Saccharomyces cerevisiae S288C: one gene and its partners. The gene in region 2 interacts genetically with the main gene of each other region. Each region holds a gene or a part of one and is shown on either strand. Other genes may lie near its edges. The genes, in order: DDL1, CQD1, IMP2 and HAP5.

Region 1 (8,182 bases), on a different chromosome or scaffold from region 2:
CAGCAGTTTGTTCCTATCTTTTAGATGCGCAATGAACTTGTGCGTCTTAGTCGGCTTTGCCAATTGAACATTTGAATAGAGCCTCTCCATAAATTTAGCAAAAATGGATATTTTGAAGTCATCTCTAAATAGCGAAATATCAAACATTTCCCTGCCGGACTTGATAGACCAATACTGTGAACAATCCTTTTTCACTAGGTCGTAGAGCCCATCAGAAGAGCGAAAGTCAGGAATGCCCGCGTTGCACGAAATGCCTGCCCCAGTCAGACAAGCAATTCTCCTAGATCTGCTCAACTGCTTGGTTACGCGCCGGAGAACTTCATCGTCGGCATCAAGACCTATAATATGTGCCAGTTTCTCAGTCTGCAAAGAGGACGGTAAGTCGGAGCACATTGAGCCCGATCGACTGGCAGGTGGCGAGGGCGATACTGAAGTCATTTTTGAGAAAGATGGATCTAGTTGTATGTAAATTAATCCCTTCAGTTTTTACACCACTAACCACGTATTTGCCCTTGCTTGTGTTATATATAAGACGTACGCCAGATATAGTTCTCTGGCACGAATAACATTGCTTGCTTTTATTGACGTTTTACCCTTTGTGGTAACAGCAAACATAAACGTCGTTCGTGATGTTGAGTTACTTATTGTTACCCGCAATTGAGGGATACCCGCCACAGAAACACATGCAGTGCATTTGCCACTGTGCATAGCCGTAGGAAGAGGGAAAAACGAACAGGGAAGAAGCAGGAAGAGCAGACAGCAAGAACCCGTGCTAAGGAAGGTGATGAACTTTGGCCACTGAAGGCGCATTTTACCTCTGAAGGATCCCGTTTCCACATTTGTAAGCTAGTGTTCGTTCATATAAACACCCTGATCTTCGGCATTTCACTACTCTTCGGGCTCACGCTTCTCATCCAACACTTTGTGTATATGTCCATCTCCTCATGATGAGTCCCGCCCAAGATAAACTGCAGCACCAGCATCATAATCCTAATTCTTCCTCATCGTCATCCTCTAAGATGACGAACGTTTATCAGGTTACCACGCCAAAGTCTCCTCAGGATTTGGAAAACAACATGGATGAGCCCTTCAAAATGGACACCGCCACCAGTAATCCGGACAAGGATAGCGAAAATACCCAGCGGTTGAAGTACGAATGTGCCAAAGGGGAAATACAGAATGTTTTGAACCTACATATAATGCTAAACCACAAGCATGTTAGGCACTTACGAAGAAATGTTCAAAAGGTTAACGCAAAACTAGCTCTCTTGGAAACCCTGCATAAGGATACTGGTCTATTGAACAAAATCGAACGGACGTATCAACTCAAAATAAAACAACATCAGCAGCATAGCGTGCTCGGCGGCCACTTTCACGACAGTACGGCTACGGAAAATACGAACGCATCAAATTATAACCTGTCATACCCGGTTCTATCGGATTATAACATCAACTGTCAGCCTTTGTCTTCGAGCAGCAACAGAAATCTGTCAACAACACGCATACCACACCACCATTATCATACTAGAAGCAAGAGTAACGGGCTTTTGCTAGAACCTTCTGCCCTCCGTCCGGCAAATTCGAATATAATTGATTACAGGCTAACAGGTTCTAAATCTCTATCAGAAGCCATAACCAAGCCCACTCCCGTCTCGCTTCCTCACTCTAATTCGGATGGCATTTCTTCACCTCGTTCCTCCTCAATCTCCCCCTTAGACGAGCAGCCGGGGTTCCAGATACTCCCTTTTAAACCAAGTCAGATGCATCTTAACCACAGACGTAATTACAGTAGCACTTGTTTGACGAGCAATAGCGGTATCATCGGTAAGACTGAAAATAATGAGCCCATTTTTAGAAGATATGACGGCATTTTGGTTATAATTACGTGCTCCAAATGTGACCGTTCCGGTTTCACTTCCGCGCAAGGTATCGTGAACCATACTCGACTAAAACATTCTAAACTATATTCAAGCCAACCATTGGCAGTTTTAAACAACCAAAAACTACTTCCTAATGATAAGCAGGATCCGGAAATTTTATCTAAGTTCAAGAAACTAAATTTGGACCCAAACAAAGACTACCTACCCTCTGACATTGCAATCCCAAAACCACAATCACCAATCAACCACTCCGAGAACCATACGCGGGCTCCAAAGACTGTCAAGAACACTCCTCATTTAGAAAAACTATACCAAAATAAAGAAGACTTCAAAAAACTGATTGACATGGTTAATGAAACTCCGGATGATTTGAATGAATATTTGAAGCAACGTGAAATTCAATTAAGATATCAAAAGGAGCAAGAAGAGGAATCTTCCAAATCTGATGACGAAGCTTCTTACGTCCCATCACCGTCTCTCTCAGCAACGGCTACAACAACAACGACTACGGACCCACCCTCTCCGCCAGTGCTATCCTCCTCCTTACAAAGAAAATTGCTGCGTAAGAGAAAACTGAGCTTGAATAGCTCTACTCCCATGGAAGATTTACCTTTAAGAGAAAGGTTGAGAGCAAATCCCACTGACAAGAAACCAAGAAAAGCGGCCCTTTTGACTAATGAACTTGAGGGTCCTGATCCTGCAGCAAAATCATCATCTTATTACAATCTAAGGTCGAAATCAAGACTGCGTGGTTCTCATACATAGTACACACATATAAATAAGTAAATTACGTAATATAATATTCTGTTGGTTTTCTGACCTAATTTGTCGCTTTGGAAGAAAAAGTGGATTGTATTTTTTTGCATATTCCCTAATATTGAAGATCACTGAATATACTCACAGTGAACAATTACTTGAAATGCTACGGTTTACTCATCGAGGCCTTCCCTCCAGCACTCGTTTTAGAAACATTTTCGTAAGGTTAAATCACATTTATGTACCATGGTTCTATGCCATAGACGTACCCAACTCCAAACCCTATTTACCCACATATCAAACTTTACACTCACCCAAAAAGTTTAAGCCGTTCTCCGTTGATGATTCTAATCGTTTGGAAAAGGCCAGTAAGCGTCAAGAACGCAGGCCTGTTTTAGTCAACGAAGATTACCTGTTTAAAGTCGACCTCTCTCACATGGAATTGTCCCCTACCTATTGGGAAGGCCCTACTTATCAAGTACGAAGAGGTGTGTGGTTCGACTCTTCAAATCAACCTTTGTCCAGTGATCTTACCTCCGAAATTGAAGGGTTGTATAAGCAGCTCAAATTCGACGACAGTAATGATGATCCGACCACGACACCTCCTGCAGAATCGCAAGATATATTTAGGCTCAAAGGTAAATACCCAGTCGATAAAGAAAACGAAGGAGAGCAAAAAAATGGATCCAGCAATAAAGATGAGAACGAATCTACTTTCAAGTTTATTTTGTTTGCCAATAAACAAACTGCATTTTTACTATCGGATTTAGATGGAGGAAAACTGCAATTAGCCTTTCTAAGGTCTAATCTGGCTCAATCCTTACCGATTAATGCTACAATGATTACAAGATCATACAAATATTCATCCTCCGCAACTACTAAACAGACATCCACATCTTTTAAGGCAGCAAAAACGCCTCAAACGGAAGTAGCAGATGGTAGTAACAGTTCCAAATCGAGGAGCATTGAAACAAAGTTAGAAAAGAAAGTTTCAAACCTCTTCAATTTATCGGACTTTTTACAGTTGTTCAATGGTAATGCTAGTAAAGATCAAGATGATGCACAGAGCTTGGAAAAGCAAATGGAAACAGACTATAACAATGCAGATAACAGTCAAGGCGCTAATGCTAGTAGCAAAATAGAAGATGGCAAAAATTCGGGCGCAAGCGATAGACAAATTAGAAGTAACAGAAGAGATGTGGATAACTTGATACTATGCGTTCACGGTATAGGTCAGACTTTGGGTAAGAAGTACGAATACGTAAATTTCGCACACACGGTAAATCTACTTAGGTCTAATATGAAAAAAATCTACAATAATTCTGAGAAACTACAATCATTAAACACAGCACCTGATTATAAAAGCAACTGTAACGTTCAAGTGCTACCCATCACCTGGAGGCACTCGATAAGTTTCCAAACGGATGCTAAGGAGGAAAATATAGAAAATCCTGACCTACCGACTTTGTCACAAGTCACAGTAAATGGAGTGTTACCCTTGAGGAAGCTACTGGCTGACGGTCTACTAGATATTTTGTTGTATGTCGAACCATACTACCAAGATATGATTCTACAACAAGTAACCTCTCAATTGAACAAAACATATCGGATTTTTAAAGAATTTAATCCAGAGTTTGATGGGAAAGTCCATTTAGTGGGCCATTCGTTGGGTAGTATGATATTATTTGATATTCTATCCAAACAAAAAAAATATGAATTAGAATTTCAAGTAGACAACCTGTTCTTTATTGGCTCACCAATTGGATTGTTAAAGTTAATTCAAAGAACAAAAATTGGTGACCGTCCCGAATTTCCCAATGACTTGGAGAGAAAATTAACCGTACAGAGACCGCAATGTAAGGACATTTATAATGTTTACCACGTCTGTGATCCCATTTCTTATAGGATGGAACCTCTTGTTAGTAAAGAAATGGCTCATTACGAACAAACTTATTTACCACATTGTAGTGAAGCTTATGGACTAACTTCTAAAGTTTTGGAATTTGGCGAAAACATATGGAAAGATTTGCCAGGTACTGATGAAAATAATTTGCAGTCCAAAAAAACTTCTCCAGAAAAAAAAGAGGTCAAGTTATCAGAAAATCTTACGAGAATGCTTACAGGTTTGAATTACACCGGACGTCTAGATTATGCTATGTCTCCAAGTCTGCTAGAAGTGGATTTTATATCAGCTATAAAATCACATGTTTCTTATTTCGAAGAACCGGATATTGCAGCGTTTATCCTAAAAGAAATTTTAAGTAAACATGAAAATGCATCAGAAATATATGTAAAAAGAAAGACTGGTTGATCAGTAAACGCAAGGCACAAGTTTTTTTTAACTTTTTTCTTTACTGTCTATTATAGTTCCACTGTGTAAGGTTGTATTCTTTCCGTACTTCAACTTGCGGGTAACAGGATTGACACCTTTTCAATTTTTTCCGTTATTTTGGATTAGAAATTTTCGGTAAGCTCATCGAGTATTGTAAAAGAGCAATGCCCTTTGCTTATTAGATGTTGAGGGGCATATCTATTGTTAATATAGATTGATACAGCTGTGGAGATTATTTCTAGATATACGATGAAGTACATTATTGAGCATATGGAGGAAGGGTTTAGTGAATGGGTCATTTTAGAGTATAGCCAAATCCTGAGAGAAGTAGGAGCTGAAAACTTGATTTTATCATCGTTACCAGAGAGTACCACGGAAAAGGACATCCCTCAAAGGCTACTAAAACTTGGTTTAAGATGGACTACAAAGGATTTGAAGGGCATTAACGAAGATTTCAAGGATTTGGAACTGTTAAAAGATGGCAGAGTCTGTCTATTGGACCCTAGGGCTACAATCGATTTACAGCCGGAGGATGCTACGAAATTCGACTATTTCGTATTTGGTGGCATATTGGGTGATCATCCTCCAAGAGATCGTACCAAAGAACTAAAGACTGCCTATCCGAATCTTTTAATTAGCAGAAGACTAGGTGATAAACAAATGACTACGGATACTGCCATAAGAACAACACAGTTGATTATCAAAGACAGGATTGCATTTGAAGACATCAAGTTCATTGACTACCCTGAATTTAGGTTCAATAAAAATGAGGCCACGGAAATGCCATTTAGATACGTTTTAGATAAAGAAGGTAAACCTATTTTGCCTGAAGGGATGTTGGATTTGATCAAGAAGGATTCTGCTCAAAGTTTGGACGATCTGTTGATGTAGATGAGAACAGTCCTTTAAGTAACATTCTATGGTTGTAATAAGTGATGATGCTTCCTTGTCAAAGAGTTAGTTGAAAAGTTTAGGGTCGTAGCATTAATTATATTGTATATAGTTCAAAAACGACATTCAATGAAAAAATCAAGTTTATTAGCCAATGAATATTTCGTATTTTGCGTTAGTAGCGCTACCAAGACTTCTGAAAAGTGCATGCAAGAAAAATAAAAACAAGGAACCGTTTACTTTTATGATATCATCATTGTCAGGCCAAATAGGATAAAATTGATTGGTTGTATTATGCTTTTTAATTGAAAAAAAAAGTAGAAACTTTTATTATTTTATTTAAATTAATTTCTTTACATTACTTGCATCTAAAACCAAACGAGCTGGTGACTTCAAGCACTGCACTAGTTGCCATGGCTTTGCTAATTCAGACGACCCCCTTGAGGTGAAAAAATAGTCTCAGTAATGAAACAATCATAGGCAATTAGTTCGATTTTTTATAATTATCTTCCAGCCTTTCAAATATTGAAAGGCCATCAACTATCACTTACACCTGAGTGTTGTCATTGATCCGTAAAGTAAAAAGAGGCAAGTTTTGTGCATATTCGTATCATGCACAATGGCCTAAGGCAAGTATTTTCAGTGTTTTTTTTTTTTCATTGCCGTTTTGCTATTCAGAATATATTGAATTATATGTATAATGCATACTTAATAGAAAGAAGGACGCTAATTTTCGTTATAGAACAGTAGTTTCAAAAAGTGCTTCAAGTTTATAGAAATCAGTGCATCCCTTCACTGAACGATGAAGAACACCACCATTTCAGAAATTTTTATACATAATCAGTTGGCTTTCGTATCCTGCCTCGTATCTTTCTCTAAATCATTTAAAAATCCTTCAATACTCTTTACGACATCATCGTCCTTTCCCATAGCATCTGAGTTTGAACTTTCACCGCTTTTTTGTTGGCTCAAGGCAGAACTATTCTTGCCTTCATTTTTGGTTTTTGGTTTCGTGGTAAAGTAAGATGCCACTGCAGCAGTAGCGATAAACGTAGATATAGCCAATACGTGAGGTTGAACCGTCTTCCCAAATACTTTGTATGCAGCACCCATTGAGATAGCTATATTTATTTTTGTATATCTTATGTTTAGAAACAGTAGCGACCTTTCTTACTTGTTCCTTCAAAACTTGACTTAGATAACTATTTACCCTTAAACCGTTAGCTCTGTATTATGGACTGTGAAATTACACCTCGTTACCCGAAGTTCTATTATATTTTCAATCCATACTCCTATGATCTCTTCATTGGGAAAAAAAGGTCCACTTTCTCCTGGATTGCTCGAAGGCTTTCCGTAAAGAAAATACCTTTTATTTTTCTTTGCTTTCTTTCTCCATTAAATAGTAAACGCCTCTTTCTGAGGCAGCTGGCTAAAAAAATGTAACAAGGAATTTTATTTTATTACGGTTCAGCAAAGGCCGTAACGATAGTTGTATTATTTTCGTTCATATGTAGCAGCGATGGTAGCATTTTTTATTGTATAAATTGTGGCTTGCGTCGATTATCTTATTATGCCACTCATAATAAAAAGTTACTCTCAAAATGTCAATATTCAATAATGCATGTCTGTCTTTTTAATTTAGTACATACGTAGGATTAGGTATTGGAAGCAATCATAATGAGTTCTAAAGTTGTTATTTCTCACTTATTGCACCTCTCGAAGTTCTCTCATTAGCCGCCCAATTCTCATTCGTGTGAAGGTCATTAACGGGGTAATGCCCGTCATCAATGATAGAAATTTCTAGAATCTTGAAGGAATGGGAAAAAGAAGCTTGATTATGTATAAAATTAGTCAAAACGCTTATACAGTACAAACTTATTATGTGCTAGGTTTAAAATAATTTCTGATAGAAGCCATTGATCGAAAATATATTGAATCTACAGAAAAAAAAGAATGTCCACCCTTTTGAAGTCTGCTAAATCTATCGTTCCATTGATGGACCGTGTCCTTGTCCAAAGAATCAAGGCACAAGCAAAGACAGCATCCGGGTTGTATTTACCTGAAAAGAACGTGGAGAAGTTAAACCAAGCTGAAGTTGTTGCCGTAGGCCCGGGCTTTACTGATGCTAATGGTAATAAGGTTGTTCCTCAAGTTAAAGTTGGTGACCAAGTTTTGATTCCACAGTTTGGTGGTTCTACCATTAAATTGGGTAACGACGATGAAGTTATTCTTTTCAGGGACGCTGAAATCCTGGCTAAGATTGCCAAGGACTAAGAATGATGTCTTCTTCAACAGAGATTTTATATACATACTCTATATGTAT
Region 2 (8,362 bases):
GATCTTGGTGGTTCACCCTTTAAGCGTCCTCCAAAAACAGTGGTCATTCTTTCTTCGACAGAAGTAGAGATATCTTGAGTGTTTCCTTCAAAAGTCATATCTACTCTGGAGTATCTTGTGAACCTCCGCACCGGATAAATTCTGTAAAGTAATGACCATCCCTGATTTCTTATCATTTTCTACTTTTGATCACGTCTCTATCTAATGACGGTTTCATGCACCCTCTGACTGTTGTAATTTACGTATTATTATTCTGTTTAATTTATGCTATTTATGTAAATGAGTTCGGCCATGTCGGAGGAGAAAGATATCTTTTTTCAAATTTGAGTATCTGATTCGGGCTTATAATACATGCCCACGACATCGCTCGATCATATATTCCAACTCTTCAAGCTCCCTCTTCATTTTATTCTTCACGTTGAACGGTTCAAAGAGCCCCAGAAAATAGGTGCTGAGATCCAGACACTCCTTGTACTTACATTGGTAAAATAAACGATGGCAGAAACCACTAAGCACCTGTCGCTGATGCTTATTGGAGATATCGTACTTGCCTTCCCGGATCTCAACCAAGGGATCTACCTCATCCATCCATCCTACCTTTGTCCGCACAGGGCCTTGTTCTACTTCGAAGTAGTGCTGCAATTGCTGTGTATACTCTTCTTCCGTTTGACCTTTACGTATTTTAGTTTTCCCGGTGGATTTTCTAACAATTACTTCACCTGTTCTACCATCTAACGAGATTGGCTTAGTCACTGATTGATCCTTCTCTCCGTGGGCTTTCCTAAAACCTGTACTATAGTTTTTTTCCACCATTTTTGGTGCTTCTTCTCTATCAGATGCTTCTTTCATAAAAATTATTATCTTTCTTAGCTGTTATTCATCTTACATTTTTTTTTCAATTACGGCGAGGCGATGACTTCAATCGTTGCTGTCAAGATTGAATTGACAATTACAGTCGATGTTGAATATTAACTTATATATGACAGATCATTACAGCTAGTCTAGTTCGACAAGATTAGTAAGATTAGGAGTTATTTTTAACTGCTTATTATGCAAGTTGTGTAGGCCACAGGCGCAACTGAAAAACATAATTTCAGATTAGGCAGTTACTGGAAAGATCGCGTTCTTGTATTGTCTAAATAGAAGCAGTTGTTTTAATAATGCTTACAATTGAACTATGAACCAAAGCAATAATTTATGAGAAACTAAAATGGGATGCATCAGATCTTTGCACTCAATTGAGTTTAAAACTGTACAGGTACTAATATTATATTAACGCTGCTTCTATAACACTTGTTTTGACATGACGATAAGTGTAGTGTATTCAAATGCCGTATGTCACTTGAACACACAGGGAACTGCACTCTGCACTTCGGAACAAGATTGAAAGTTACTGTGTTATTAACCTTTGCCAACAAGCGAAAACAACCAGGTGTTTCTGCGGTTTACAAAATCTTTAAGGGATTGAGGTTAGTTGGCTCAAAGAGAAGAAGTTCCCAGTCGATGTATCAAGCAGAGCTAAGAGAAAAAGTGCCGCGAAAGGGTTTGATTGGTCAAGTTGGCTTGTTCATCAGGAACTAAATTAATCAAGGTGTGATTCTATCTGTCAACCCCCCCCCTTGATACTTCCTGTACTTAGAATCAATTTATTAAATACAAATTTAGAATCTGTGATTCGTAAATCTTAAGTGTTTAAATACTAAGTGTGTATTAAAGGCTTTACTTCAAGCAACGAAAAATAAATAACCCCGAATATATGAGGGGCAATAATACCTTTTCACTCATTTGATGAAAAAGAAAAGATGTTTGATGTTATAGAAAATACCTTATACCATATCTTCTACCTACTCATCAATATCAAACCCTCACAGAATAGAGATAAAGAACATCAGAACCATCTGGGCAATGTCATTTTTAAAGTTCGCTTATAGAAACTCTTGGCGATACTATAGCAAGTCCACACGGCATTTTCATAAAATACCTATAAGACAGTTCATAATACCTACGTCAATTGCTTTTTATTTGACACAAAATTCGTTTCCAAAACAAAATTGTTTGATATACAATGATTCTCTAAAACCGGATCCCAAAGGTGATACTTTTGAAATGGGCCTCTACGTTTCCTCAGAAAACGAATTGCAGGAAAAGCTTAAATCTTTCAGGTCTGCTAAGATCACTGAATCACGAAATAAATTAATAAGATATCTAAGAATCTTTTGGTTCGGTTTTAATGATAATATTGTTGAGCCTGTATGCACGATTTTAAGGTTTTTAGAAATTTCAGCTATTTTTTTACCTCTTCTCCTATTATACCCCATATCATGGTTTGGTCATAAACTCAAAATTACGGACACCAATATAACTGAAACTCGAGGTTCATTGATTTGGTGTCAACTACTGCGTAAAGCATTGGAATTGGCTGGCCCGAGTTTCATTAAACTCGGACAATGGGCAGGATCGAGAACCGATATATTCTCTCACGCACTGTGTCATGAGTTGGGTAAATTGCATAGTAACGTTACAGCTCACTCTCTAAGCTTTACTCTGGAAAAACTTTCTCAAGCATTAAAGGTTGACAAGATCGAAGATGCTTTTGATGAATTTAATCGAACACCAATTGGAGTTGGGTCCATCGCACAAGTTTACGTGGGTGAACTATCCCAAAAGTACATCGATAAATATGACAATATACAAATTGGTAAGGATGGAAATCGTTGGTGTGCCATCAAGATCTTGCATCCAAATGTAAGATCTCAGATCCGGAGAGATTTGAAAATAATGAAATTCTGTGCTGACGCAATAAATTGGATTCCGACTATGGAATGGCTGTCTTTACCCAGCGAAGTCGATCAGTTTTCCATATTAATGAATATTCAGTTGGATCTAAGAATTGAGGCGTTAAACCTGGAAAGATTCAATGAGAACTTTAAAAATTCTATTCAGGTGAAATTTCCTAAACCATTTCTCCCCTTGTCAAATAGGGATGTTATGTTCGAAGAGCATGTATATGGTCTTTCCATGGAAAAGTTTTTATCTACGAAGAAGCAAATTAACGACGTTGAACTTTGTAAAAAAGTCAGTGATCCCTTCGTTGACGCGTTTCTACAAATGCTAATTCTTGATGATTTTGTTCATGCTGATTTGCATCCAGGCAATGTTATAATCAGATTTGTGAAGACGAACAAATACGGCACAAACATTATATCCTCCGAACTTGAATCGTACAGAATAACGCACGACCTGAGGAAGAAGATAGAGGAGGACCAAGATCAGGACTTTGTTGGAAAACTGAAGTCTGTATTAACTAATTACACTCCCCAAATTTGTTTTATCGATACAGGAATAATTACAGAATTGAATGAAAAAAACAGAATTAATTTCATAGCTCTATTCAACGCATTGGCCCGATTTGATGGTTATAGAGCTGGTGAGTTGATGATTGAGAGATCAAGAACTCCAGAAACAGCTATTGATAAGGAAGTATTTGCGTTTAAGGTAGAAAAGCTAGTGGATAAAGTTAAACAAAGAACATTTACATTGGGAACCGTCTCAATTGGCGATTTACTCGATCAAATGCTTAGTATGGTAAGGTCGCACCATGTTAGAATGGAGTCCGACTTTGTTTCCGTGGTGGTCGCTATTTTACTTCTAGAGGGTATTGGACGCCAGTTAGATCCAAACTTGGACTTATTTGAAAGGTTCGTATTTTACGCATGGATTAACGGTTTTAAAGAATAACATCAATTTTTTAAAACCCTTTTCTATTGCTTTTTTTTGCTTTTTATTGCTACTAAAGAAATTCTTTTACTAACAAAAATACCCACATCTTGTAACTTCTCTTCGTAAACAGTTCGCTGCCTATATTACGTGAATTCGGGTTTAAGCGGGAAGCCAAAAGTCTCTTGAAAGATGCAAGCACATTATCAATGCTCAAGATATGGGTTGGTTTAGAAGTGCGTCAATTAATGCATCTCTCGATGAAGCAAATATACGATCTTGTCAGGACTGATCAATTGTGTCCTAATTATTAATATTCTTTCTTTTTATGCATCTTTTATAATTGCGACTTCCACGTGTTCGCAGGTGGAGCAATGTTACACACGCTGTCCCAACATATTAGCTCTCCAAAAAAACGACCAAGTTTATTTAAGTGACAAATAATAATTTGCTGTTGCTCTAGCTGAAATTTAGACCAGTGCTGTCATTATCGACTCGTAGTGTTCTTTTAATAGTAAATTTCGTCAAAACGTTTCTAATTCACTTAATAGCGCCAACTGAATAAGAGAATTATTTTTAGAACGTGCACATTATATTAAAAAGAGAGCGTTGGCTGACAGAAGTAAAAAATAAATTATTGTCTTACAAAGTGAGACTATTAAAGAGTTTAAGTTTTGCAATTAGTGCTTCATTGAACAATAAGGCAACGGTAGCAAAAAATTTAAACCCAACTAAGAAGGGAACCCTCATCAAATTACACAAAAATAGCCACTATCTCCAACTAAGGTGACAAACTACTGAAACTGTAAGGTCTTTATATAATCAAACAATATAATCAATGAAGTTCGGAAAAACCTTTGCCAATCATCGCATTCCAGAGTGGTCAAGTCAATATGTTGGCTACAAGTCGTTGAAGAAAATGATTAAAGAAATTACAAGACTTCAAGAAGACATATATAGGGCACATAACAAGAATAGCTATGATGAAGGCAGGCCACCAACAAAAATGAGAGATTCATCTAATAGTGCTCAAAATTATTTGGACTCTCCAAAAATCCAAAAGTTATTGGCGTCGTTTTTCTTTGCAGTTGACAGGGATATTGAGAAGGTTGATACATTTTACAATTCCCAGTATGCGGAATATAAGAAAAGATTTGAGAGATTGCTTTCTTCTAATCAATTCAATGAGATAAAATCAACATTAGTGGTCGATGCCAACAAAGAAGATGCAGTAGCGCAAACCTTACTCACAAAGGATACGAGAGAGATGAATATGCTTTTAAAGGGAACAAGTCAAGCCAGCCGTCTATCTTACCATAAAGATGACTTAATTGAAATTCAGTCTATCTTAGCTGAGTTAAGAAAACAATTTAGAAACTTAAAGTGGTACGCTGAACTAAATAAGAGAGCTTTTGGTAAGATTTTAAAGAAACTGGATAAAAAAGTCGGCACAAATCAGCAAATGTCAACTATGAAAACTAGAATCTTGCCGTTACAATTTGCTAATGATTCTCTTATTACCAAAGATTTGAGTTTGCTAAAAACTATCTGGGAACAAGTGACGTTCAGGATAAATTCTTACGAGAGAGTAATGAGGAGTACCTCGCCGAACGCAAATGCTAATGATAATACAGAATTCTTTAAGATTATTTGCGTTTTTATAGAAGAAGATGATAGCAAAGGATTGATTAGAGAGCTAACAAACCTATATTCGGAATTGTCTTTGATTCCAACAAGAATTATGATAAGTGTTTTAAACAAGGCAGCACTGTCTAAATCACTGGCATGTATTGATGCTATCTTAAAGGTTATTCCGTCTCTAAATGACTCGGAAGATATTAACAGAAGAAATTTTTTCCATCATCACATAATTGCAATCGGGAAGTTAATCAGAAAACAGGAAATTTTAAGTAGGAAAAAGAAGTCACAACCCTCAAAATATACTAATAGTGAGGGAGAAATTGTAACAGATTTAAGAACCCTGCATACGACCCTATCTGCCCCGGCAGAATCAGATAGCATTACAGAGGAGGAAAAAAGTTCGGCCTGTACACTCTCTTATATTTTAGAGGAGTTACCAATTCATTTAAGACCATGCCTTTTTCAGCATGATAATTACAAGAGAACGCCCTTGCATTATTCTTGCCAGTATGGCTTATCTGAAGTTACGAAGTTGATTATCAAGTTAATGAAAGAATGGAATATCTGGAATGAAATCCCTATTGATGACGTTTCCGCGTTCGGAGATGCCGAATCATTGACACCTTTACATTTATGTGTGTTGGGTGCTCATCCCAAAACAACAGAAGTCTTATTGCAATCTTTGGATCCGAACGTGAAATTAAAAAGTTCAAGTTTGTTACATTTGGCCACTGAGTGGAATAACTATCCCCTTTTACATGTTCTCCTATCATCAAAAAGGTTTGATATTAATTATCAAGACAACGAATTACATGAAACACCGCTATATCTTGCTTGTAGATTAAATTTTTTCGAAGCTGCTGTGTGTTTGTTGTACAATGGAGCCGACCTTGAAATAAGAGAAAAACTTTTTGGCTGGACAGCTATCTTCGTTGCAGCAGCAGAAGGGTTTACGGACATTGTAAAGCTCTTGATAGCCAACAACGCGAACTTTGATATTGAAGATGAAGGTGGGTGGACGCCGATGGAGCACGCGGTATTGCGCGGTCATTTGCACATTGCTGATATGGTTCAAATCAGAGACGAACTGGTCACGCATCCCCATTCACAGTTGAACAGTGGTAGCGAAGAGAAAGAACCACTAAACGAAATTAGTGCCGGAGAATTAAATGAGAGAAATGAAAATGGAAACGGAGGTAATAAAGGGTCCTTGGGAAAACTGGCCGGACCAATAAAGTCATATGGACACAGATTCCTGGATAATAATGAATCACTTATACTAATAACATTGGGAAGTAATGACACAAGAAACAAAAGCCCTTCAATTTCATTAAGCTCGGAAGCACTAGCAAAAGTTATTGGGTTGGAAACAGATTGTGCATTATCGTTAGTAATTTCATGCAATGATTCAATTGATAAATCTTCTGTAATCTTAGATTTACCATTAGATGATAATGTGGACGCAGTAGACTTCAAAGTGCCTTTCAAAGTTGATTATTCTCATACATTATATTTTGATATTGTGCCAACATATGGAACACGCTCGTTGGAGACCCATAATAGAATAGATTGTCAAAAAAATAACAATAATTACGTAATGGCAAGGGGTGTTTCCATGTTGAATAAGTCGTACAGCTCAGTGGGAGTTAATAGAAGTATATTAAATGGTAGCGTGACGGTCCCCATCATCGCTAATCATACACTGGAGATACTTGGGACGCTGAAATTTGAATATATTATTATCACACCATTTGAACATCCACAACTGCCCTTAGAAAGAACAGAAACGTACTGGAAATCCTTAGTGTCCACTCGTGTTATAGGACATAGAGGCCTGGGTAAAAATAATCCTAATAAATCATTACAAATTGGAGAGAACACAGTCGAGTCTTTCATCATGGCAGCCTCATTGGGAGCATCGTATGTAGAGTTTGATGTTCAGTTGACGAAGGATAACGTACCAGTGGTATATCACGATTTTCTCGTAGCTGAAACAGGTGTCGATATCCCCATGCATGAATTGACGCTGGAACAGTTTTTAGATTTGAACAATGCCGATAAAGAGCACATTCAACGTGGAGCAGGTCACTCACCTCATCATGTAAATGGAGCAGATACAGCACTACAAAAATATAGAGGGCGTTCGGTAGATGATTCAGACGTTAGTACATTGAGGAGAGCTTGGGATTTACACGACAACGACCCGAATGGGAAGTCCAACAATGCTCATTGGTCTGACAATCGAATGAGGCTAACCAAAACATTTAAAAAGAACAATTTTAAGGGAAACGCTAGAGGACATTCAATAGCTTCATCATTTGTTACCTTGAAAGAACTATTCAAGAAAATCCCTGCCAACGTTGGGTTTAACATAGAATGTAAGTTTCCCATGCTTGATGAGGCAGAAGAGGAAGAGTTAGGGCAAATAATGATGGAAATGAACCATTGGGTTGACACCGTGTTAAAAGTAGTTTTTGACAATGCGAATGGTAGGGACATCATTTTTTCGTCATTTCATCCGGATATTTGCATCATGCTTTCGTTAAAGCAACCGGTTATTCCGATCTTGTTCCTGACGGAAGGTGGAAGTGAACAGATGGCCGATTTGAGAGCCTCATCGTTACAAAACGGTATAAGATTTGCTAAGAAGTGGAATTTATTGGGGATTGTATCTGCTGCAGCACCCATTTTAAAGGCCCCACGGTTGGTGCAAGTGGTTAAGTCTAATGGGCTGGTATGTGTCACTTACGGTGTGGACAACAATGATCCCGAAAATGCCAGTATACAAATTGAAGCAGGTGTAGATGCCGTGATCGTCGATAGTGTATTGGCAATTAGACGTGGGTTAACCAAAAAGAATGAAAAGTAACGAAGATACACTACTTTTATTTTTAATTTATTTTCTTTTTTTGTTCGTAAATTTATGTATGCATGTGCTTAACTAAAATAAAAAGAGAATGCTTATTTTGATAAAAGGGATGATGATATAAACTACAATAAGGTT
Region 3 (7,009 bases), on a different chromosome or scaffold from region 2:
TTCTAAGCAAATTTTCACTCATCCTAAAGATACATTTTATATCACAAGAGAAAAGTATAATATGAAAGGACCGGCTGCTCTTTGGGACGTGCAATTTTAAGAATACGTGATAGATGCTTCGTGTATCCAAAATCCGTGTGAATATGTGCTGTTTAGTTTTTTCCATCCAATGAGGATGGGAAATATATACATAAACGTTATGTAATATATAGAATTCATGCAAAATTAACAAGGGAAATATCACCTTGGTTGTGTATATGGGACGTTGTTCGACAGAACGGATTGATTTTCACCAGTTCCAATTGATATGATCTTTTCCAAATCAACTTCCTCATTCTCATTTGCACAAGATGACTCGCTTCCGTCTGCTTGAGCGTCCTTTTGTATCCATCTTTTGAACAAGCTTACAAAGAAATTTGCCGTCATGACTTGCTCAACTTGATATAAAACCAAGGGAACCAACAACTTACCCAGGTGTTCTTTTTTATCGCCGTATTGTGAAGTAATTAGTGATACACCCAGTGCTGCAGTTTTAGCCGGGCCACAAAACATAATGCAAATCGCATCTTCCTTTGAATAATAAAAAGGCCTAAAGATATTATACGAATAGCGGTACAATCTTGTAGATTTGCCCTCTATTGGTTCATGAGGGAAAAGCTTGAGGATGAACCATGGCCTTGCACATAAGTATGACAGACCCGTGAAGAATATATAAATTCCCAAATTAAAAAAGCAGAGAAATATGATGCAAACATGAGAAACGCTAGTAAACGCATCCTGATAAAAGGCAGTTGAGAATGAACTAAACATAATCAATAAAAGCATGTAAGATCCAATTTTAATATGGTATTTTTTCAAAAAGCCCAGGTAATAAGCAGTACCCTTCGGAAAGCAATTTTGAATAACCTGACCCACAAACAAGGGTACGAATACAGAGAGACCAACCTGTTTCATAACACGGCCATAAAGCGCACCAATGCCATTTCCAGTGGCAGGGTTGCCGTATGCAAATGGTGCGCGGTTAGTAAACATTTGAACCAATGCAGGTGTAATAAACGCACCCAACAAATTTCCAATGAATACTTCACAAACGCACAAAAGGCTATTTCCACCTGCATTCGTAGTCATGATAACGTTTGAAGCCACGGTTGTTGGACAAGTGGCAGTCAAAATTAGACCGATAAGTACCCAGTCATCTATTTTCGGATCATTAGCAGCCTTTACCGCGCAACAAAATCCATATACTATGGACGAGGTAATAAGGAAACTCAGAACCAGAATAGTGGCATGAGCTCTCCAATTTAACATATTTGCCATTAGTGACCTTGATTTCATTCCCAGGCCACTTTGGAGAAAAATCCAGGCGACGCAGCCGTACCCAATACTATATTGGCCTTTAATTAACCCTCCGTCTCTTGCAAAATTCGGAGCAAATCTTGCAATAACGATTAAAATAGCCAAACAGATGAAAAACCACTGGGATTTCAGAAATTCTGTTACTGAATGTGCCCAAATTTTTCGTATTAGAGAGTACTGAGTCTTCATTTGGCACTAAGTAGGTGTATTAAATGTGTGTCTTCCTTCTTTTTGCAAGTTATGTCAGAGTTGGGATATATCGTAGAAAAGGGTGCGAAGGTGATTCAGGTAGCATAGACGGTTTCAGGCAATAAAAAGCTATAAATCTCTCTTTATATAATTGAAGGTTAAAATTTGCTAGATTTTAAAGTGGTTCGGTTCTTTTTTATGCTTTCTTAGCTTCTGGCTGTTCGTTGGAGCTCAGACTTACGGGTAGACCAATGTCATCGAAATACTGTGGAAGATCAAGCTCGGAAGGAGAGCGAGGCTAAGTTCCGAGCTACTGAAAAAAATGGAAAAAACAAGTGCCTTAATTGAATGACTAGATGGGTGCTTGTTAACGAAGGCGTGCTGCTATTCATGAAGCTGTTGCATTGTACTGTACAGTAATGTTTCGAGCCGGATCATCAAAAAGATTCTTACGAAACACACTAATAGCAATTTCATGGGTTCCGGTACTTCTAACAATCAATAATAATGTGGTCCATATTGCGCAAGTTAAAGGTACCTCTATGCAGCCTACGCTGAACCCGCAAACGGAAACGCTGGCAACAGATTGGGTGCTGCTTTGGAAGTTTGGAGTCAAGAACCCAAGTAATTTATCTAGAGATGACATTATCCTTTTCAAAGCTCCTACAAACCCTCGGAAAGTTTACTGCAAAAGGGTTAAAGGTTTACCGTTTGATACCATTGACACGAAGTTTCCATACCCTAAACCTCAAGTGAACCTGCCCAGGGGACACATATGGGTCGAAGGGGACAATTATTTTCATTCGATTGATAGCAATACTTTTGGCCCCATTTCCAGTGGGTTGGTCATAGGGAAAGCTATAACAATTGTTTGGCCACCCTCCAGGTGGGGAACGGATCTCAAACTGAGTACCGGTAGAGACTGCATTAGCAAAAGAGCCATTTTAGAATGAAAATCAGCTTATTTTTATGAATTTAGAAGTGACCCCGGTATTCAAATGCAAATTTTTTATATTATGTGATTAATCTAATGCAATAAATATAGATGATTGTGATTTATGTATTGATGTTGTTGCCGTTCGGTTCCTGAATATATACTTCTTTTTTTCATAATACTTCATGCACATGTAGTATCATTTTTTATCTTCAGTCTCTAGAGAAGGGAATAACGATCTTCTTGCGGGCCTGGGTAAATCTTCTCGGTCGGAACCAACGAAAGTAAAATCTCCGTCTTGCTCTTCATCTCCACTTACTTGCTGATGATTGCCTCTCTCATCTTCGAAACTAAAATATGATGGGGTATCCAGTCCGTCCATTAGTAGCATATGTGAAGTGCTTAGGTTACTGTTACTACTCATAGACGACTTACTTAAGATGGGGAAGAAATTTTCGTCGCCTGTACTCTCACTTGAATTTAATGATGAACCACTAGAGACTCTTCTGTGGTTTAATGACAGCTTCGGAGGCGGCTCAAACCTGAACGATAGTGCAGAAGATGCCATTGTTGTTGAAGATTGATGGCTATCTCTATAAAAGAAGTTAGGATTTGAAGGGGAAGCTAGTTTTCTAAAAGAATTATTTTTAGTAGCAAATCTTTTAGATTCTCTCCTAAACTTATCCATTTCTTGTTCACAATTCAGCAAATTTTCTTGTGAGTTCATTCCCACGTACTGACGTGGATAACATAGTTCAGGAAAATTGTCAAAAACAGCTTTGTATCCGCCATCCAATATCAATATGTCGGGATAGAATAATTTGGGATAATGATCCTGATTTATTATACGATCACAATTTCTCAAATGAGAGGCCAATGAAGGTCCCCGGTGGGAACTAAATTCGCAATGGATAATTAAAAGAGTTGGTAGAGTGTTGTTGTTGCTAGTATCGCTATGCAAAACTTTATGGATAAATTCGTACTCTAACTCATCTCTCGAGTGTATGTTAACGGAGTTTATTATGTGGCCGCCAGTATATTCGTATTCAAACCGACAATCTATAATACGACATGAATTATAAAATGACTCGCACATATTATTCTGCAGAATATTTTTCAACGTTTCTGGAGAAATTCGAGGGAAAAAGTCATTTGAGTTACGATCGTCATAATAATATGGTATCTGTGTTTTGGCTAGGCATGATTCAAAACATTTCACCCCTACCGAATTAGGAGCTAGTGGACTGGATGACGCAGACGTGAAGTTCAAAGTATTCTGAGTAATGTTAGAAAATTTCTGTGAACTTTTTCTCGATGACCTCGGAATTTTCCCATCTTGCCGTTGCACCCTCCTGCTTGAATTGCTACTGCTATTCATGCTTGGCTTTCTCGACAAGGACCTTGACCTTGAAAAAGAGCTCGACCTCTGGGGACTGCCAGGATACTTGATTCTACTTAAAAGATCATTATCCCTATTATTGGTCAAAGATCTTCTTGATGAGTTTCTTGTTGGACTTTGTAAGGTTTGAGAAGCAAAATGCATGCTTAAGACTATATCATCATTTTCATTTTCATTTTCATCTAACTCATCGCGATGGCCAAGCTGCTTTATATTCGGTGAAGGACCATCAATTTCCTTACTCCTGTGATTTGTTAACAATGGAGATTTATCAAAGGCAAGATTCTCTTTATTGATTAAATCATCGTCGACATTCGAATGTTTGCTTTTTGACTTAAAGAAGGTCTGAACATTTCTAAATATGTTCTTCTTCTTACCAAAGGGACTTTTCAAGGAAATTTTTTGGAAACTAAGAACGTCTTCATTGGCACATTCATCTTCAGTTCCATGAAATATATTGTTCATGGTTTCTTCACCCTCGCTGACTTCAATCCTGGTTTGTCCACTGCTCTGTTTATCTTTTGTCTCCTTTCAAGTTAACTCTCTTTTCTTTGTTTTCGCTTGTAACTTTAAGTTTTCTGATATACGGCATCGAAACAGGGAAAAAACAGATAAAGCATAAAAAAGAAGGAAATAACAGAGTGTAACTGTTGGGGAAATATCATAATGAGAATATTTAAACGCCGGAACAATGTATCAAAAAGGGCTTTACCGCTAATAAGTGGAGTATCTATGCTTTTTTGACGTATACAATGGACAGAAAAAGCGCCATATAAAACATTGAAGCCCCTCTTCATCCTTAGTCCTGAAAATGAGGCCTAGGAAATTAAGTATTCGGCAAAGATACATAATACAGTTCTAAAAGTAGCAAACTGGTAGATACTATTTGTGGCGCAGTTAGCTACCCCAAAATAAAAACGGTAATCTTCTCCCATTAGGGGCACCCCTCTTGCTTTTGTACGATGTGGTATCTTCGATTTTCAAACTGACAGGCATATTGCACAGCATAATGCGCACGGAATTCATTAAACTGTACGGATATATATATGATATTACGGTGCCATATGATATTATACAATATTATACTGTACTGTACTATATTATATTATATTGTATTAATTATATTATACTATACCCTATCATACCAAATATTTTGGCTATATTAATTTTTATCTACGTGTATCTAAGTTGTTACAGGCGGGGGAACTGAATTCCTTCAAAATGTGAAGGTACCGGAAAAATGGCAAAGAATCATGATAATAATAACAATAAGCCGTAAGCTTCATAAGTCATTGAACAGAATTATCTTATGAAGAAAGATCTATCGAATTAAAAAAATGGGGTCTATTAAATGTCTCCATGTTTTTTATGAGTCTTGATGTGTTGCGACAAATTATCGCTTCTACTAAATTTCTTATCGCATATGTGACAAGCAAATGGTCGTTCGTTAGAGTGAACAGATCTCACATGCCTTTTCAAATGTTCGCTGCGCTTAAAGCTCTTGGGACAAATGTGACAGTGGAACGGTTTCTCCTCGAGTTCCTTTGTTGATTCTATTACGACACTTGATCTTCTGGACGGTGTCATTGATTTTCTCCTGTAACTTGGCCTTCTTTCCTTCGTAACCCCAGCACCATTGCCAGTTGAGTTGACACTACTACTGCTTATATTATTTTGTTGATTTGTAAGCGGCACCGTACCCATCAAAGGCACAGCAGACTTCCGCCTCCGAAGGGAAGAACCGATTTTAGAGTTCATGGTATGGTGACCCTGCTGTGGGAAATGGTGATAGAAATGATTTGTTGCAAGAGACGTGGAGGATGATGATGCAGGCGATAATGGAGCCATATTCATTTGAGTGATGGAAAGATCGAAATTTGGAGTAGAATTAGCATTTTGTTCACCTTCCTCTGTCAAAAATGGCATATCATTACTCAAGCCTGTAGTCGCCACTTTCGCAATAACGGACGCATTGTCTGAAAGAATCATAGACGGTTTGATAAATTGTTGAGATGAACTCAAATTTGAATTCGGCAGCATATCGTTCTTGGGGTCTTCATCCTGCTTATTAACCAGGTCGTAGCTTAGTGAATCATCGATTATGGGTAAAGAAGCTCTTTGCCTTCTTGAATAAAGATCGCTGTTGAAGGATTTCATGTTAGTGCTACTGTTATTATGTGACGAGGTGAGCTGCTTGTGTTGAACTCGGTTTAGCTGTTGCTGTAATTGCTGACTTGGATTTATCTTTGTCATAGCATTGGCATCAAAAGAACTTGGGCAAGCAGATTTGTTCTTGCCAGAAGTGGATGTGCCCAAATTATCGTTGAAGTTCATATTATATTCGTTAAGAATCTGTGTCAACTCATTGTCTATGGTAGCGTCATTGTTTTTCGGGTTGCCAGCAATATTTGAGTCTGCATTTGCGTTCATAGTAGTGGTATTCGGACTTGCATTGGAACTTGAGGTAGAATTAGTAGTGATATTGAGATTTGTATTTCTATTGCTTGGATTAATTTTCGGATGGTTCCAAAGGTCCAAAGAGTGAGAAATAGAATTCCTCGAATTTGTCATTGACGGAAATTGGTTTGTTATAACGTCGCTAAATCTTCGGCGTGATAAATTAGTGTCATCATCATCATCATTCAATAAGAGATCACTAGAAACGTAATCATCTAGCATGGAGTCTATGTTCAGTGAATTAAAATAACTGGAATTTAAATTACCCGTAGAATTGGAGTTTGAATTAGAAATGGAGTTAGAATATGAATTTGTATCTGAGTTCAATTGATTTCTTAGTTTTTCGTTCAAATTGTTTGGGTTAGTGTCAATGAAAAGATTCGAATTAGCACCATTAGGTAAGGACAGACGATTATCTTTAATGGACGTATGTTGTTGGGCTCGAGGAGATATAAGAGTTTCATTACCATTTGAAGTTTGAGGCGATAAATTAGTTTCGTTACTTGCTGTATTTATGGGAGGATTTATAGTCGGATTTTGAGGTACCGATGAAGGTGACGGTGATTGTAACGGATTGTTCATGTTGTACAAAATGTCGTTCATAGGATAAGGTGAAGTAAGAGTTGTGTATTGATTTGCCCCAGAGCCACTAGCATTATTAGTACTCTTAATTT
Region 4 (7,139 bases), on a different chromosome or scaffold from region 2:
ATTACAAGGAGCATGCTCAAGCTGTTACGATGCAACTTAAACAACAATTGGAGACCTCCGGTGATACAAGCGACTTTAATTCAAATGGCAAGAAAAAAAGGGAGTCCAGCAGTAACCAGCTAGTTAACAATGACAGTTATTCAAGTTCTATGACGGACATGAAAAATATGTCTTCTAACAGTTCCTTCTCAAAAAATTTGAATGTAGGGAATCTGGCCTTTTCATTAAGTCCAGAATTCAACATACCTTATTCCACTTCTCCAGTGTCACTAAATCTTTCCCCATCGATGAGTAATAATCAGCAACAATTACTGACACCTAATTCGGCATCGAAGAGTAAAAACAATAATAAAAAAAGAAATTACATGGATGAAGATACTAACGAGTCAATGACCGAGCCAAAGAAAACCAAAACTACTAAACCTGGCAAACAAACAAAATCCCAATCTTTATCAGTTTTATCCACCCCCAAAAAGGGTTCCTCTGCATCTCTTTCTACATTTGCAAGCTCCAAGAATATTTCGCCAGATTCTTCTCTGTCGCATAATGCATCGTCAAATACTTATGTTACTGCCGCTGCCGCTGCACCAAGGCTTTCTAAGCTTTTGCCGAAAAATGGGTTTAAGAAAAATTCACGTAGCTCTTCTGAACTGGCTGCTATCCATAAAGTAATCTCTACACAGACTCCAATTGAGAGCTCTTCAGAGAGCTCTCAATATAACAGTAGTAGTAGTTCACCAGTTAATAGTGCAGCTGCTTCTTCTGCTGAATCTTTATCCGACATCAATTCCAGTCAGGATAACGGAAGAGAATCAAACCCAAGTTCCCAAGAATCACGAAACGAAGTTACGAATTGGATGAAAATTGTGAGAAATGGATTTTTGACACATGATATTGAATCTCCTGAATCAATCACATTAGATGACCTAGAAAATATATTCAATTGATTTTTATCTCCCTTTACAAGAGCATAACGGCTGCTCTACACCTATGTCGTTGTTTTTTTTTATCAACTAATAATATGTGTTCCTCTCATTTGGACAATTTTTAGCTAGTTCTAACTTTCACTACAATATTTAAATAAATAAACAACCATAAATAAATAAATGAAAAACAACTAAACCGTTAGAGGTGGACTAATTTACTGTTAATGACAGTAATTTTTTTTTTTTTGGCTGTTTTCGGTTATTCCGGATATATATGGATTGATCTTCATTTACCCCACAGTTAGTTTATCCGAAATTTGCGGGAAGCTTTATTTTTTGTTACCAATGGATCGCGATTTGCCATGACTGTAGAAAAGAAAAGGTTAACTGAAAAATTCAACTTTTTCAAGCGGACTGAGTAGTAGTGGTCCCCACTTAATTAATTTATTCAATACGTTATATACTTACTGTTACTTCAGGCCACATAAAAGAACAAACTTAAGCTAGACAGGAAAATCCACTCTGGGAAAGGGAAAATGATTAAGTTCACTAACGAGAACTTAATTAGAGGGATCCGAATGACGATTTCCGCAAAATCTCGTCATTTGGCTCTAGGGACAGATATGACGAGAAAGTTTAGCTTGTCGTGTAGGTTTTTGAACAAAGCAAATCTTACTGAAGAAGAGAAAGAGTTGTTAAATGAACCAAGGGCGCGCGACTATGTGGATGTTTGTATAGTTGGAGGAGGGCCTGCGGGATTAGCAACAGCAATCAAATTAAAACAGTTAGACAATTCGTCAGGAACAGGCCAATTGCGTGTCGTTGTTCTTGAAAAATCCAGTGTATTGGGTGGACAAACTGTTTCCGGCGCTATATTGGAACCGGGAGTGTGGAAAGAACTATTCCCTGATGAAAAGTCTGACATTGGCATTCCGTTACCAAAGGAGTTAGCTACGTTGGTAACTAAAGAACATTTGAAATTTTTAAAGGGGAAATGGGCGATCAGCGTTCCAGAACCATCTCAAATGATCAATAAAGGACGTAATTATATTGTCTCTTTGAACCAAGTCGTCGGATATTTAGGAGAAAAGGCAGAAGAAGTAGGAGTTGAAGTTTACCCCGGAATAGCTGTCTCGGATCTCATATATGATGAAAACAACGCCGTTAAGGGTGTAATTACTAAAGATGCTGGTATTTCGAAGTCCGGTAAGCCTAAGGAAACCTTCGAACGTGGGATGGAATTTTGGGCTAGACAAACTGTATTAGCAGAGGGCTGTCATGGTTCCTTAACAAAACAAGCCTTGGCAAAATATGATTTAAGAAAAGGCAGACAGCACCAAACTTATGGATTAGGTATTAAAGAAGTTTGGGAAGTCAAGCCGGAGAATTTTAACAAGGGATTTGCAGCTCATACCATGGGGTACCCGTTGACAAATGATGTTTATGGCGGTGGTTTCCAGTACCATTTTGGTGATGGGCTGGTCACTGTGGGCCTTGTCGTGGGGTTAGATTATAAGAATCCCTATGTTTCACCTTACAAAGAGTTTCAAAAGATGAAACATCATCCATACTATTCAAAAGTTTTAGAAGGAGGTAAGTGTATCGCTTATGCTGCAAGAGCATTGAATGAAGGTGGACTGCAATCTGTACCCAAGTTGAATTTCCCTGGTGGTGTTTTGGTAGGGGCTAGCGCGGGTTTCATGAACGTTCCAAAGATCAAGGGTACTCATACTGCGATGAAGAGTGGATTACTTGCCGCTGAAAGTATCTTTGAGTCCATAAAAGGGTTACCTGTCTTAGAAGAGGTTGAAGACGAAGACGCCAAAATGGCTATGTTTGATAAGGAGGCAACTATTAACTTGGAATCATATGAAAGTGCATTCAAAGAATCATCGATATATAAGGAACTATACGAAGTGCGTAATATTAGACCGTCCTTCAGCGGGAAACTTGGTGGATATGGTGGTATGATCTACTCTGGAATCGATTCTTTGATATTGAAGGGAAAAGTTCCGTGGACACTGAAATTTGATGAAAAAAATGACGGTGAAATTTTGGAACCTGCTTCCAAGTACAAACCGATAGAATACCCCAAGCCTGATGGTGTGATATCCTTTGATATATTGACCTCCGTGTCTAGAACCGGAACCTACCATGATGATGATGAACCATGTCACTTGAGGGTTCCTGGACAAGATATGGTAAAGTACGCCGAGAGAAGCTTTCCCGTTTGGAAAGGTGTTGAATCGAGGTTCTGCCCAGCAGGTGTCTACGAATTCGTCAAAGATGAAAAATCGCCTGTGGGTACGAGACTGCAAATCAATTCACAAAATTGTATCCATTGCAAGACCTGTGATATTAAGGCGCCCAGACAAGATATTACTTGGAAAGTACCCGAAGGTGGAGATGGACCAAAGTACACGCTAACTTAATCACAGGATTCATTATTTATTTAATTATTTTATTCATTATTTATTTAAATTTTTCTATTCATTCTTTTATATAATCTATATTATTTATTCACGTAAAAGAGTTCTTTTCAGCCGACAAACTTTTCAGCTTCAATGAACCTCACGAGAACTTTAGAACCAGATTGTAAAAGCGGGTGCCCGGCTACCGATTGCATCCAGGTATTCAAACCTTGTCTCCTCTCTTCAATGACTTCGTTACTAAATCTATTACTCAAGAGAATTTTACCCGGTAAATGAGGTACCATGACTTTTGGGTGATTAAGCATAGAAATTTCCTTGATCAAGCATTTGCGGAAGAATTCAAAGTCTGAGTATCGTCTCCTTACTTTCGATACCCTCTTGTGAAAACTTGGCAAGTTTGTACGGCATATTATTTCGTAATCTGTAAACATCCCCTTCGAATCCATCCCATTTGGTATATGAGTTTTAGGGTTGTGCACCTCAATCTCTAAAAAGTTCTCAGGCTCAGCGTATATTTCGCTGTAACTAGGCTCTCCATGTCCTTTTGACAGCAAAGACTTTTCTGTAGACCCAAAGGATTTGAATTCTCTTGGCATACTTTGTGTAGATGCGTACCGCTTCTCAGCTGTTCTTGCCGTCCTCTTTTATGCAGTATTAAGATCCGTTTTAATCCATTCATTCATTGCAGGTTTACATATCAATACATATCACTTAGTACGTGATAGTGCCCAAAGCTATCCTCGAGTTCACTTATGCAATTCTGAGCACCCCATAGCCAAGTCCTCATAGTAAATCATGGTCCCTCCTAGCGCAATACTTACTAGAGTGTAGAAATCCCGAAATGTCAAAATCGAAGAGTGTTGTGCTCCCTTTTCCGTAGTTAAACTTAAATTTGCGTGGGACGGCTCCCTTAAGATTGCTTCCGGAGATTAAGCTTCCTTAGCTGCTATAATACCGCGTAAGCAAAGAAGAAGAATAGAGGGGAATAGGAGATAATGTAAGAGTTGTGACGCATTTGCAGCATCAGGATTGTTTACTCGCATAATGACTGATAGGAATTTCTCACCACAACAAGGACAAGGACCTCAAGAATCGCTCCCGGAGGGACCGCAACCCAGTACGATGATTCAGAGAGAGGAAATGAATATGCCAAGGCAATATTCAGAACAGCAACAACTGCAAGAAAACGAAGGGGAAGGGGAAAATACGAGGCTACCTGTTTCTGAGGAAGAGTTCCGGATGGTACAGGAGTTGCAAGCTATCCAGGCGGGCCATGACCAAGCTAATCTACCGCCAAGTGGTCGAGGATCGCTTGAAGGCGAAGATAATGGAAACAGCGACGGCGCAGACGGAGAAATGGACGAGGACGATGAAGAGTATGATGTGTTTAGGAACGTTGGTCAGGGATTGGTGGGCCACTACAAGGAGATAATGATCCGTTATTGGCAAGAATTAATCAACGAGATCGAGTCTACGAATGAACCTGGTTCCGAGCATCAAGATGACTTCAAATCACATTCCTTACCATTTGCGAGAATCCGCAAGGTCATGAAGACGGATGAAGATGTCAAGATGATTAGTGCAGAGGCCCCCATCATTTTCGCCAAAGCCTGTGAGATCTTTATTACAGAACTGACTATGAGAGCTTGGTGCGTGGCAGAAAGGAATAAAAGACGAACTTTGCAGAAGGCAGATATCGCAGAGGCCCTGCAAAAGAGTGACATGTTTGACTTTCTCATCGATGTTGTGCCTAGAAGACCTCTTCCACAATGAGAGAGTTAATGGTTATACAGCTGCCATTTGACCGTGCACCACAGCAAATTATCTGTTGGAAAAAGAAAAAACGCAAATTTTTTTCATTATTTTTTTCCAGAATAAGTTTGGTAGCAAATTGGCGATGAGATATCTAACAACGACTACTACTACTACCATAGGATTGTCTCGAATACATTGTGTTTTGCAGTCACACTGGTACTTCGTCCCTTGGGCAATCTAGATCACTGTATATACTATAGATATTGTTTTCAGAAGAGAAAAACTGTTCATATAAAGTAATTGTCAGCAAAGAAATCATGAAACATCCGTATGAGGAATTCCCCACAGGTTCCAAGTCACCATATAACATGTCTAGAGGAGCTCATCCAGGCGCCGTTTTGCTATCACCACAATCTTCTGCCATAAACAAGAACAATCCGGGCAGCAATTCTGGCAATAACCAGGGCAATTCATCCGTGACCGCGAATGTTTTGTCCCCTCAATCCCATAGTATGTCACTCAATGACATGCTTGATCAGCAATCCTTTATGCTAGACACTGCGGGAACCAGGGCTCAGCCGCTCCAGCAACAACAGCAGCAGCAACAACAGCAACAGCAGGCGTCGTTGCCTTCCCTTAATATTCAAACAGTTTCGTCTACAGCAGCTGGTTCTGCTATCGTTTCCCCCATGATGCAATCTCCAAAGGCGTTGCAATCTACTTTATCTTCAACATCTATGTATTTGGATTCATTTCAGAGATCTCCAAATAATATTTTGGGTATTCCATCGCAGAGTGGTTCAATTCCTTTGCCGCAATCCCGTCAATCGCAACAACAGTCTCAATCCCAAAAAAACGATCCGAACATGGGCACCAATTTCAGCCAAGACATCAACCAATTATGTTCTTGGATATCCATGCTGAACAGCAGCCAACAAAATACTGTAATGGACAATATCCTTTCCATTTTGAATGATGATGTTTTGAAATATACTAAGTTAAAAATAGAGACTTTGACAAACACTCCCTTCATCTCCCCACCGCTACCTGCAATTGCATCACCTATACCTAATAGGGATGACACACAAATTTTGAATATTGATTCAGTCTTTTCTTCAAGTCCTATAACTAATGACCCTGAAAATACCGATAACTTGTTGTATCAAAATTGGTCCCCTCAGCCACATTCAATACCAATTAGCCAACCCATATATGACAACATCACCGACGCTAGTCAAAGGTCCAAGTCGGCTGAGCCTCATGTTAATTCAAGCCCAAATCTCATTCCTGTCCAGAAACAATTCAACAACGGTAACAGTACCAAATATAAAAAGTTGCCATCAGAGAATCCCAACTATCTTTCTCACTCTCTCTCAAGTTCCCATTCTTTTTTCCAACCAAAGAAAAGGTCTAACATGGGAAATGAGTACAATTCTCATCACCATCATTCATTGCATCATCCTCTGCATAATACCACCTCATATTTTTCGAATACTTCAAGACCATCAGGAACTGATTTGAATAAGTCCAACCAGAACGTGTTCAATAATACCATTACGCATCCTAATGCTGGTCCTACAAGTGCCACATCGACATCTACATCATCTAACGGAAACACTCCTTTATCGAGTAACTCTTCGATGAATCCAAAGAGTTTGACAGACCCCAAGCTACTAAAAAATATACCCATGTGGTTAAAATCGTTAAGACTACACAAGTATTCAGATGCCTTAAGCGGAACCCCGTGGATCGAATTGATTTACTTAGATGACGAGACTTTAGAAAAAAAAGGCGTTCTTGCCTTGGGTGCAAGGAGAAAATTGTTGAAGGCTTTTGGAATCGTTATTGATTACAAAGAACGTGATTTAATTGATAGATCTGCTTATTAAATCTGGCATAATAAAGTTGATTGTCTTGACGTTGCATAAAGATTTAATTTTTATTTACTTTGCATATACCAACACAGGGAACATATTTCATTTATTTTGTAATTTTAACGTTTTCTTTTATGGAGTTTAATATTTTA

What was found.
Region 1: mutations in CQD1 (region 2) and DDL1 together harm fitness more than expected from each alone (negative genetic interaction), as found in Saccharomyces cerevisiae (2 studies listed by BioGRID).
Region 3: mutations in CQD1 (region 2) and IMP2 together harm fitness more than expected from each alone (negative genetic interaction), as found in Saccharomyces cerevisiae (2 studies listed by BioGRID).
Region 4: mutations in CQD1 (region 2) and HAP5 together harm fitness more than expected from each alone (negative genetic interaction), as found in Saccharomyces cerevisiae (2 studies listed by BioGRID).

The regions. Positions count from the first base shown.
Region 1 is NC_001147.6:370,475-378,656, reverse strand, and holds DDL1 (putative carboxylic ester hydrolase), read left to right. Parts: upstream 1-2,799; coding exon 2,800-4,947; downstream 4,948-8,182. Other genes in the region: NAD-dependent histone deacetylase HST3, read right to left, coding at 1-438; AHC1 (Ahc1p), read left to right, coding at 945-2,645; protein-arginine N-methyltransferase SFM1, read left to right, coding at 5,218-5,859; MCO10 (Mco10p), read right to left, coding at 6,700-6,972; HSP10 (Hsp10p), read left to right, coding at 7,813-8,133. UniProt on the Saccharomyces cerevisiae protein: Probable phospholipase that hydrolyzes phosphatidic acid.
Region 2 is NC_001148.4:340,933-349,294, reverse strand, and holds CQD1 (Cqd1p), read left to right. Parts: upstream 1-1,905; coding exon 1,906-3,698; intron 3,699-3,850; coding exon 3,851-4,031; downstream 4,032-8,362. Other genes in the region: DPC25 (Dpc25p), read right to left, coding at 1-176; YPL108W (uncharacterized protein), read right to left, coding at 343-849; GDE1 (glycerophosphocholine phosphodiesterase), read left to right, coding at 4,556-8,227; CAR1 (arginase), read right to left, coding at 8,350-8,362.
Region 3 is NC_001145.3:339,178-346,186, forward strand, and holds IMP2 (endopeptidase catalytic subunit), read left to right. Parts: upstream 1-1,964; coding exon 1,965-2,498; downstream 2,499-7,009. Other genes in the region: ARP9 (Arp9p), read left to right, coding at 1-100; RCH1 (Rch1p), read right to left, coding at 241-1,545; putative tyrosine protein phosphatase MIH1, read right to left, coding at 2,679-4,343; stress-responsive transcriptional activator MSN2, read right to left, coding at 5,226-7,009. UniProt on the Saccharomyces cerevisiae protein: Catalytic component of the mitochondrial inner membrane peptidase (IMP) complex. IMP catalyzes the removal of signal peptides required for the targeting of proteins from the mitochondrial matrix, across the inner membrane, into the inter-membrane space.
Region 4 is NC_001147.6:1,005,759-1,012,897, forward strand, and holds HAP5 (Hap5p), read left to right. Parts: upstream 1-4,402; coding exon 4,403-5,131; downstream 5,132-7,139. Other genes in the region: GDS1 (Gds1p), read left to right, coding at 1-947; CIR2 (electron-transferring-flavoprotein dehydrogenase), read left to right, coding at 1,463-3,358; SNX3 (Snx3p), read right to left, coding at 3,466-3,954; VTS1 (Vts1p), read left to right, coding at 5,431-7,002. UniProt on the Saccharomyces cerevisiae protein: Acts a component of the CCAT-binding factor, which is a transcriptional activator and binds to the upstream activation site (UAS2) of the CYC1 gene and other genes involved in mitochondrial electron transport and activates their expression.